Nothobranchius furzeri: one gene and its partner. The protein of the gene in region 2 purifies or fractionates together with the protein of the main gene of each other region. This does not show direct contact. Links are inferred from orthologs where the notes say so. Each region holds a gene or a part of one and is shown on either strand. Other genes may lie near its edges.

Evidence for each region. The genes of interacting proteins can lie anywhere in the genome.
Region 1: the proteins of tyrosine-protein kinase CSK (region 2) and tensin-3 purify together in Homo sapiens (affinity purification with mass spectrometry; 4 studies listed by BioGRID and IntAct, with this or other methods). This does not show direct contact. The link is inferred for Nothobranchius furzeri from reciprocal best matches to the Homo sapiens genes CSK and TNS3.

What each region holds. Positions count from the first base shown.
Region 1 is NC_091751.1:51,822,147-51,826,339, forward strand, and holds the start of tensin-3, read right to left. Parts: upstream 2,801-4,193; 5' UTR 2,600-2,800; intron 1-2,599. UniProt on the Homo sapiens protein: May act as a protein phosphatase and/or a lipid phosphatase. Involved in the dissociation of the integrin-tensin-actin complex. EGF activates TNS4 and down-regulates TNS3 which results in capping the tail of ITGB1.
Region 2 is NC_091744.1:58,988,473-58,992,564, reverse strand, and holds the start of tyrosine-protein kinase CSK, read left to right. Parts: upstream 1-1,261; 5' UTR 1,262-1,474; intron 1,475-4,092. UniProt on the Homo sapiens protein: Non-receptor tyrosine-protein kinase that plays an important role in the regulation of cell growth, differentiation, migration and immune response.

The DNA.
Region 1 (4,193 bases), on a different chromosome or scaffold from region 2:
GGGATTAGGGTGTGTCTGCCTCCCCACCAGCTTCAGCCCCTGCAGGTAAGTGCTTGACTGAGCTGTGTCGGTGCTGTCGGCCACGTTTACACAGGCATGACCATTCCCTGGAACTTCTTGCAAATGCCTTTCTTTCAGATACGCTGAATAGCATAAAGAATTTAATTGAATCAAACATTCCAAATGGGATGGTGATGGAGAGAAAAATGTTCCCTTTAGACACAAGGAATCTCTAACCAGGTGCAAGCAGGTGAAGCTTGAGGAGGTTCTGAAATCTGAGGTGGGACATTAAGGGTGTTAGCTCATCGTTGTCGTCAATCAGACAATCTGGAAACTGAAATTTTAGCAAATCTGTAAAAGATCACATGAGATGAGAGGATAAAACAACGGAAAAATAGATAAATAAGGTGCCTCCATGCACATGGAATTAATGAAAGTTGTCCAACCCCTTACAACACTAAAAAACAAACATCTAGTGGGTCGCTTTTATGAATGGGGCAACGACTCCCATCCATCCGTGTCCCAACATGATCTTAAAGCCTCTTTTTTTCTGTTGTAGCACAGGTTCAGTCACAGCTGGGTGGTACTTCTCTGCAAGCAGACGATGCATCTGCTTTGCAGGTTTAGAAAAAGGAGGTCAGTCCTTTCTTTTTGGGGGAGTCTGGACAGAAAAATGATCTGAGTTGTTTGTGAATCCGAGTTACACTTTATGTGCTGCAAACGCCATAAAGCATCAGGTTACAAGTTGTATTCCTAAATATTTTTTTCATTCTAATAAAATATTTTTGCAGTTTTCATTCACATCTAACAGCCATCTAGTAAACAGGAAATCTGTTTTATCCATTCCAAACCTGTTTCAGCAGGGCTGTGCGTTTCATTATGTCCACAGCGACACGATGAGCTGATTTTAAAGCACAGAGAGGGACAAGGCCACAGTTTGTTCTGGCCTTTTTCCTGTCAGGGGCTCTGTATGTTTATGCTGCGGCTTTGACACCCATTCACGCTTGAGGAGCTGAAATAAACAAGCCACGAGAGCTATTGGGGAAAAAGAAAACAAGACGGAAAAGTGGGTGTGGGGTATTTTTAGCTGGTTTATTACCCAACACTGAAACTCTACTCTAGTGCATTTTTGTCTCACATTTTCATGAGATCTTTTGACTAAAAATGACCGTACCAACTCTGTCCAGATTTGTGGAGTCTGAAAGCTTCCAAAGTGCTCCCTAATTACCATTTTCTATCCCAAGGTCATAGTGGAATGCGTTCCAAAATGGATTATGTTCCTACTTGTGCTCTGCCGTTCTCTTTTCCCCTCTTTCTTGCTGTCCATGCCCTGTAACTGCTTTCATTCTCCTTCCTCGTCTAGATCTCTGCTCCTTTAATGACTTACACATGTCACCCAAAAGGCAGCAGTGCTGCGACAAAGTGAAATGCCTCCGTCCTCTGTCCTTTGCTGCAAACACAGTGTTATGTTTACAGTACACAACCCCAACCCTCCGCCATTTGCAACTATTGCTTGGGATCCTTAAGGAAAATACTGACATGTTTATTTTGTTCCGAGGAGAAAGAATTTGTTCGTGTGACTCAGAAAGAACCAGCAACAAAAAAACTATAATTGTCAGTTTAAAAAAAAGTTTCTCTTGTTTTTCGTGGTCTGTAATTAGAGGAAATCTTGAAAGCATTCAGCCTGCAAAACGGCTCAGAACAGCCCGCGTGGTTTATGTCGGTTGAAAGGAAAGGTGTGCAGGAGGGTGTGGATGCAGGTGTGTGTCTGATATGCAGGTGAGGAAGACTGGGTCTGCACTGATGTAAGCACACTTGTACAAGTCATCAACAATGGCTGCCTGAGAGAAGCGAAAGCCTCGAGGGTACAAATACCGCAAAGCAGCTGTAGCTCAAACCAAAAAAAAAAAAGAGTAACAATAAATAGTGTTTTGTGACTATTATTTTCTGACTGGGAGAAAAAAAAACAAAGGTCCTTGTGTGGCCAACATTTATTTTAGGTTTTAATCTTTTTTTATTTTTGGATGCAAGTCATTCACGAGCATGGTTATGTGTTTCATATTATAAAAAGTTATCGTCCACCAAAACACCAGAACACCAAGAAAACCCAAATTATAGCTTCTACAAAGACACAATTCTCCAAGGAGGGCCTTTAAAAGTTAAAAAAAAAAAGAATACAAGATCCAGTCATGCTGCATGGAGTTCACTGTAAAGGCCTTCAGTAACACTTATCCAAAGTAAGCACACACACACACACACACACACACACACACACACACACACACACACACACACACACACACACACGATCAGTTCTTGGTTAGTTTGAAAGACTACATTCTCTGTCCTCACACAGAACTGATTGAAAACAAGCAGAGCTTGCGCGCGCACACCCACACACCCACCACTGGTGTGGGCCAAAGTAAATACAAAGAGCAGTGACCTGTTTTGCTCATAGAATAAATGAGCAACCTTCCAAATCAGGAGCCAATAAGAAAGTTACACATTCCTCCAGGTGAAAAAAGTGAGACGTTTCCTTTAAGAACAGCCTGATTTAAATTAATGATTTACCTGAAATTGTTCGCCCAACGTGACTCACCTTCTAAAGTTATCCCAGACACGTCTTCCTTGTTCTTTTTCCACTCTTGATTCTTCTAGCTGCTGAAACAGAATGAGAAAGTCCAAAGAGTCCCCTGCCCGTCATACAGGCTCAGTGCGGACTGAGAGGCGCATTTCTCCTGCTGGAATGTGATCTGAGGCGCTCCACTGGACCCACTTTGTGCCTCAAACCGGCGCTCCCTTCGCCTCTTTCAGCGGTTATCTGTGATGAATTTTAAATCCTGAACTTGCGCACCAAGTCTTTCTCAGTAGATTTCCTCCAGTGCGAGCTGCCGCTGCGCCGCGCTGCGCACACGCATACCACAGGTTCTGGCACGGGGTAGTCCTCCTCCTCACTCCGGCGCGGAGGCTGTTCCTCATGTTCCCTCCCTTTCCTCTCTCTCTCTCTCTCTCTCTCTCTCTCTCTCTCACACACACACACACACACACACACACACACACACACACACACACACACACACACACACACACACACCCTCGCTTCTCACGCAGATGGGGACTTCCTGCCAGCCCCCACAAACAGCACACCCCTCAAAAAAACTTCAGGAGCAAATAAAGCAACCATGGAGCAGTTAATGACGTTTTAGAAACATCTTATATTGATAAAGGAAAAATATTTATTTCTGACTTAATTGTATTTTTGAATCACAAACAGTGAATGTGACTAAAAGTGGATGTTTTCACCTGCTCTTCTGAGATCCTGATATCATTTTAATTTTCCTTTAATGAAAGAAAAATAACTACTTTTTGTTTGTTGAGATGAAACCTCCAAGTGAGATATAAAATCTACACCTAACTAAAAAGATAGTTGCATTAGATAAAAACACAAACGTGTCTTTAAATCAAGATGAAACAAATGTTTTACTCAAAATCGTAACTCGATTGTTTAAATACTTAACATTTATATTTTTAAGGTAGACTTTTGCGAATTTAAGACAAATTCTCCACTAAAAAATCTAACATCTGTGGCTGTTCAAACCAAGTCATTAAATAATCTTATGTTGGTCATGTTTTTGTCTGGTAGGGATTATGCTGCTTTACAAATTTTTAACAAAGATAGATAGAGCTGCAAATATTAAACTAAATGGCGATTGTGTTTTATGTTTTAGAGTTAACATGTCAATTATAATTATCCTGAAGAAAGTCTATTCACAAAGTGAGATTAAGTGTAAAAAGTTTAGAGCTGGAATGGATGAGAAAAAAAAGGCATAAATCCATTTTGACAACTTTATTTGTATTCAAAAGGGAAAAAAATACATTTTTTAAATGGATATAGTATTCTTTGTAATTATTTTCTGAATTTTACCAAAATATTTGAGATGAACAAAAATGATCTCAGAAAACATGAATGAAGCTAACATAAATGAACACATTAGCATAACAGAACAAGCAGAATCACTTATATGTTCATGTTAAATCTGAAGTCAAAAGCTTTTAAGGTAAAAGTTTAAAAATATATGCTGTGTGCTAAAACAAGCCAAAGAGTATAATCAACAAGTGTTACAATATGAATAGTACTCAGCATTAATAATAACAACTAAATATAACGACAACTGAAGAAAGCTGCAAATCAT
Region 2 (4,092 bases):
TAAGGGATAGAAATGACAGGTTTGATCTTTGAAGTATTAAAGGTAATGCTTCCCATTTTCTCATAATAAAAGCTGCAACAGATGATCCATTTAATTTGACATTTTTGTCTTTTGAACGGACACACAATGTGTGTGTGGACCTACACACACATTTAGATGTCCTGCGCAAAGTAGCCTTTAAGAACCAAAAAGGTTGGATCATAAAGACTTCATGGCAATCTGAAAACACTTTTTAAATTCAGAGTGTTAACTTGGCATTTACAAACTGAAAAAGGATTTAGGAAGGGTTGCTTCTACCTTGCTGCATTATGGTTTGACAGATGTAACATTTTTTCATCTTTTTTTTAAATACAAACATTTTCATTATTTCTACACAAAAGTTGAAATCAGTCTAGAAATAAAGTTTCTACTAAATTTAGGACATGAATTAATTGGGATTGTGCTCGTAGTTTAGCCAAGTTTGATGTTATGTTCCGGATGAGGCAGACGGCTTTGTTGTGGTTGCAAATCCTGGTTCAACAGCCCTAAGGATTATATATTTTTCTCACGGTTACTGTCACCCACCGTGTGCTATTCCCAACATTCCTTTAGCCTGATGTGTAATGTCACATCTGTTGAGACAGGTCTGGCCTCAACGCTTGTGAATGTGAATTAAAAGGCTGTTTTATCTTCGACCACCAGGGGGCGAAAAAGTATTTTGGTGCATCATTATTCTGCTACAATGGCAGCTGTGTTATTTGATTCCAGATAATTGTGCTTTTTTAAGTTAAAAAAAATTAACAAATGTTTAAAAAAAGACAGAAATTAACAGTGGAGTTGTTTGCGCAGGACAGTTTCTTCCAAAGGGCAAAGTTCACTGCCATCAGGCACAAGGGCACAACATATTGTCGTGCGTCATGTCTGCAGATGAAACAAATAAAAACACACTGGAAGGTTTGTCTGGACATTCTTTTGTAAGAATTGCTTCATTGATCAACTTCCTCCACAGTTTTGCCTGAAACGGATCGTTGGTCAACTTATTTTTAGACACTACAACGCGCATGCGCAGTCAATGAATTAAGGTGGGGCAAAACCAAAACTTGAAAGTTGCAGACGGGAGGAGAGGAGTCAGACCGGAGAGAACGCGAACTAGACAGAAACTTGTCTGTTTTCGTCCCATTGAGTCGCGCCTGTCTACTTTTATTATAGGAAGGTCTCCGCTCGTCCATACAGCTGGGAGGGACTATCAGCTGTAATTGTTGACAGGACCTTTGGACCATCATGAAATTTGTTTTCATGCTCCGTAGCTGAAATTTCGGAAGATCCGAGACTTGATTTCACTTCTTTATCCTCACCAGTTTCCGTTTTTAAGGCTCCTTCATCCGCTGCCGGTGTTTTAAAGCGTTAAAAGAAACCCACACACCTTTTCACAAATGAGCATGGACGCGGAGTAACCTGCTGCTGCCAGATTATTTAACTTTACCTGCAAAAACAGGTGAGGAAGGCTTTACAAAACGTCATCTGTGGGTTTATTCTGGTGTGCATTTTGATTATAGTAACTGACAGCTAGCAGAAAATAATCAGAATTCAGTTATGATTATTTTTTAAAGATTCTTAAATATAATGAATTATGTCTCAAAGATGCTCTACATGCACCCAGATTCTGACCGAGTGCTGTCGTGACCGACATGGCCTTGTTTAACATCCTCCTTCAAACTACCACTTCCTGGGGTGAAGAAGCTGCAGCATGCATGCACCTTCTCACCGATCTGTTCACACAGACAGCTCTCACCTGCACACACGTGAATTCCCCACATGCATGGTTTGTAGTTTTCAGTGGGTAACAAAGCACAAGCAAATAACTTCCTTATAGTAAACCATGAAGGTTAAAGGTGATGCCCCTTTGGCTAAAACTGAAATGTGCCCTTTAAAAAACAAACGAAGCACTCAAAGCTGATGTCTGTGTTGACTTTGTTTTGTTTTTCTAAACTAGAACTTTTTGGTCACAACCTATAAACTGCTGAAACAAAACGAGAGCTTATAAAACCGCAGCAGCAGCTTGCACTGCATGCTTTCTGCAGCAAGGAAGTGTCCGTCTGCTGCTCAGGAAGAAAATCTTTGACTTATATGGAGTTTCTTGACGTGCCTACTTGGTAAGATCAACACTACCCATCATCTGAACTCTGGAAAGCTGTAAAACACAAAGTTCACTCAGATGGCTGAGTGGGTGGCATGAAAAAGGGGATTGCCCCTCACAGAGAATGGTACATTTTTTCATTTCCCAGTGTTCTTAACTGCAGCCTTGATAAAAGTGTGTACCGGTATTTATTTATGAAAAACGTGACTATTTATGGGTATATTTTCTTTCATTTCCTTCAGGCCTGCTTTACAGAAACGGATGAGGGCAAAGTATGTGGTGAAAGCGGTACAATGACAGCTTGTACTGAGTGGAAGAGCACTAAACTCATACTTCCTCCCATAGATTTGATGTACAGTTCTGTCTTTGTGCTTCGCTTCTACATTATAGTGTATCAATTAAGTCTATTCTCCTCCACATAAAAACATCAGTGTGAACTGTTGTTACTTTTTCACACCAAGCGTCCTCTTTTCAGGTAAAAATTCTGTGGTTATTGAGGGGATTAATTCAGTCCATACTGATGTGCATAATAAAAGAGAGGCAGCTTTATTTTAGTGGGATTAATAATCTGATCCAGGTAAGCAGGTAACCTGCAGAATACTTGATGTATCAATGTTTTATAGCTCAATTTACTTAATGGCAGCAATTTTCTACACCAGAGCGCCACCAGAGTAGCCTCACAAGAATTGTAGAGCTATTGGAAACTACTTTAATGTATCATGTCTGATATTCATTTTCTTTCTCCCTTTCCTTATATTTTTTTGATCAATTTTTTTTTTGTCATTTTAAACATATTTTTAATCTTAAAATTGTATTTTATATTTTAAATATTTTGTTTTTGTGAAGCGCCTCGTGATTTTTATCTTGAGAGGCACTAGATCCTTTTCTTTCTTTCTTCTGTCATGCAATGAACTGTAAAGTTGACATTTTAATGTATTTTAAGCTGTTTTTTTAGTGATGCGCCGATATGAAATATTTGGGCAGATACTGATAGTCGATATTAATATCACTGTTACTGCTGATAACCGATATTTGCTGATACCGATATATTGACATTAATGCTTCTAATATCGTCATTTTGTATAGAATGAAAACCATTAAAGCTGAGTTTACGTTATTATGTACACACACCACACACATTTACACTTCTGTTCTGAGATGATTACAATCACTGTCACATGACTAAACAAATATGCATCACCCCCTCACCCTCTGAAACATAAACAAATGGAAATGAGATGGAAAAACATCAGTTGTTAATATCGGCCAAGTTTTATTTATCGGACCGATATGTTAAAAAATGACTAACATCTGTCAATACCGATATTGATGCTGATATAGTGGGCACCCCTACCTTTTTTTAGAACATATTTGTTGTGATACCACGTGGATATGTTGATAGGTGGAACTTTTGTGTTCTGTTTTTATTCTGTCAGGACTGCAAATGTTCATTAGCCAGTGGCTAACTCTGGTGCCATGCATGAAGTGTCAACATTTATTAAGGTTTACTTGTGTTTTAGATAATTACTGTGCACACATTATTTCCTAACAACCCAGCAGGAAAAAAGTTTTTGATAAAGAGGGAAAGAATCAAGTTAGACATTTAGACAAACCAGCAGTAAGATTTTGCTCTGCAGGTCAGTCTAGCTATGCTTCACTGAAACCTCAGCAGGTCTACCATTGGCTAAAACAATTTTAGTTCGAGCCAATCACAGCACTCTGTAGAGAGATGTTGGGTGGATTTAAAGGGTGAGTCACACCATGGGTGGAGACTTATTTCACCCACACTTTCTGTTAGAAAAATGCACTTAAAGGAGGTGTTGCCTGGTGGACAGAGAGAGCTGTAATGAGACAGTGGTTTACAGCACCCCCACCCCACGATCAGCTCACGGAGCTTCTCAATCGGAAAAACGAGTCGCTAACAAGCGTGCACACTCTCGTGCGTGCATTCAAGCCCACACACACACAGCTGACTC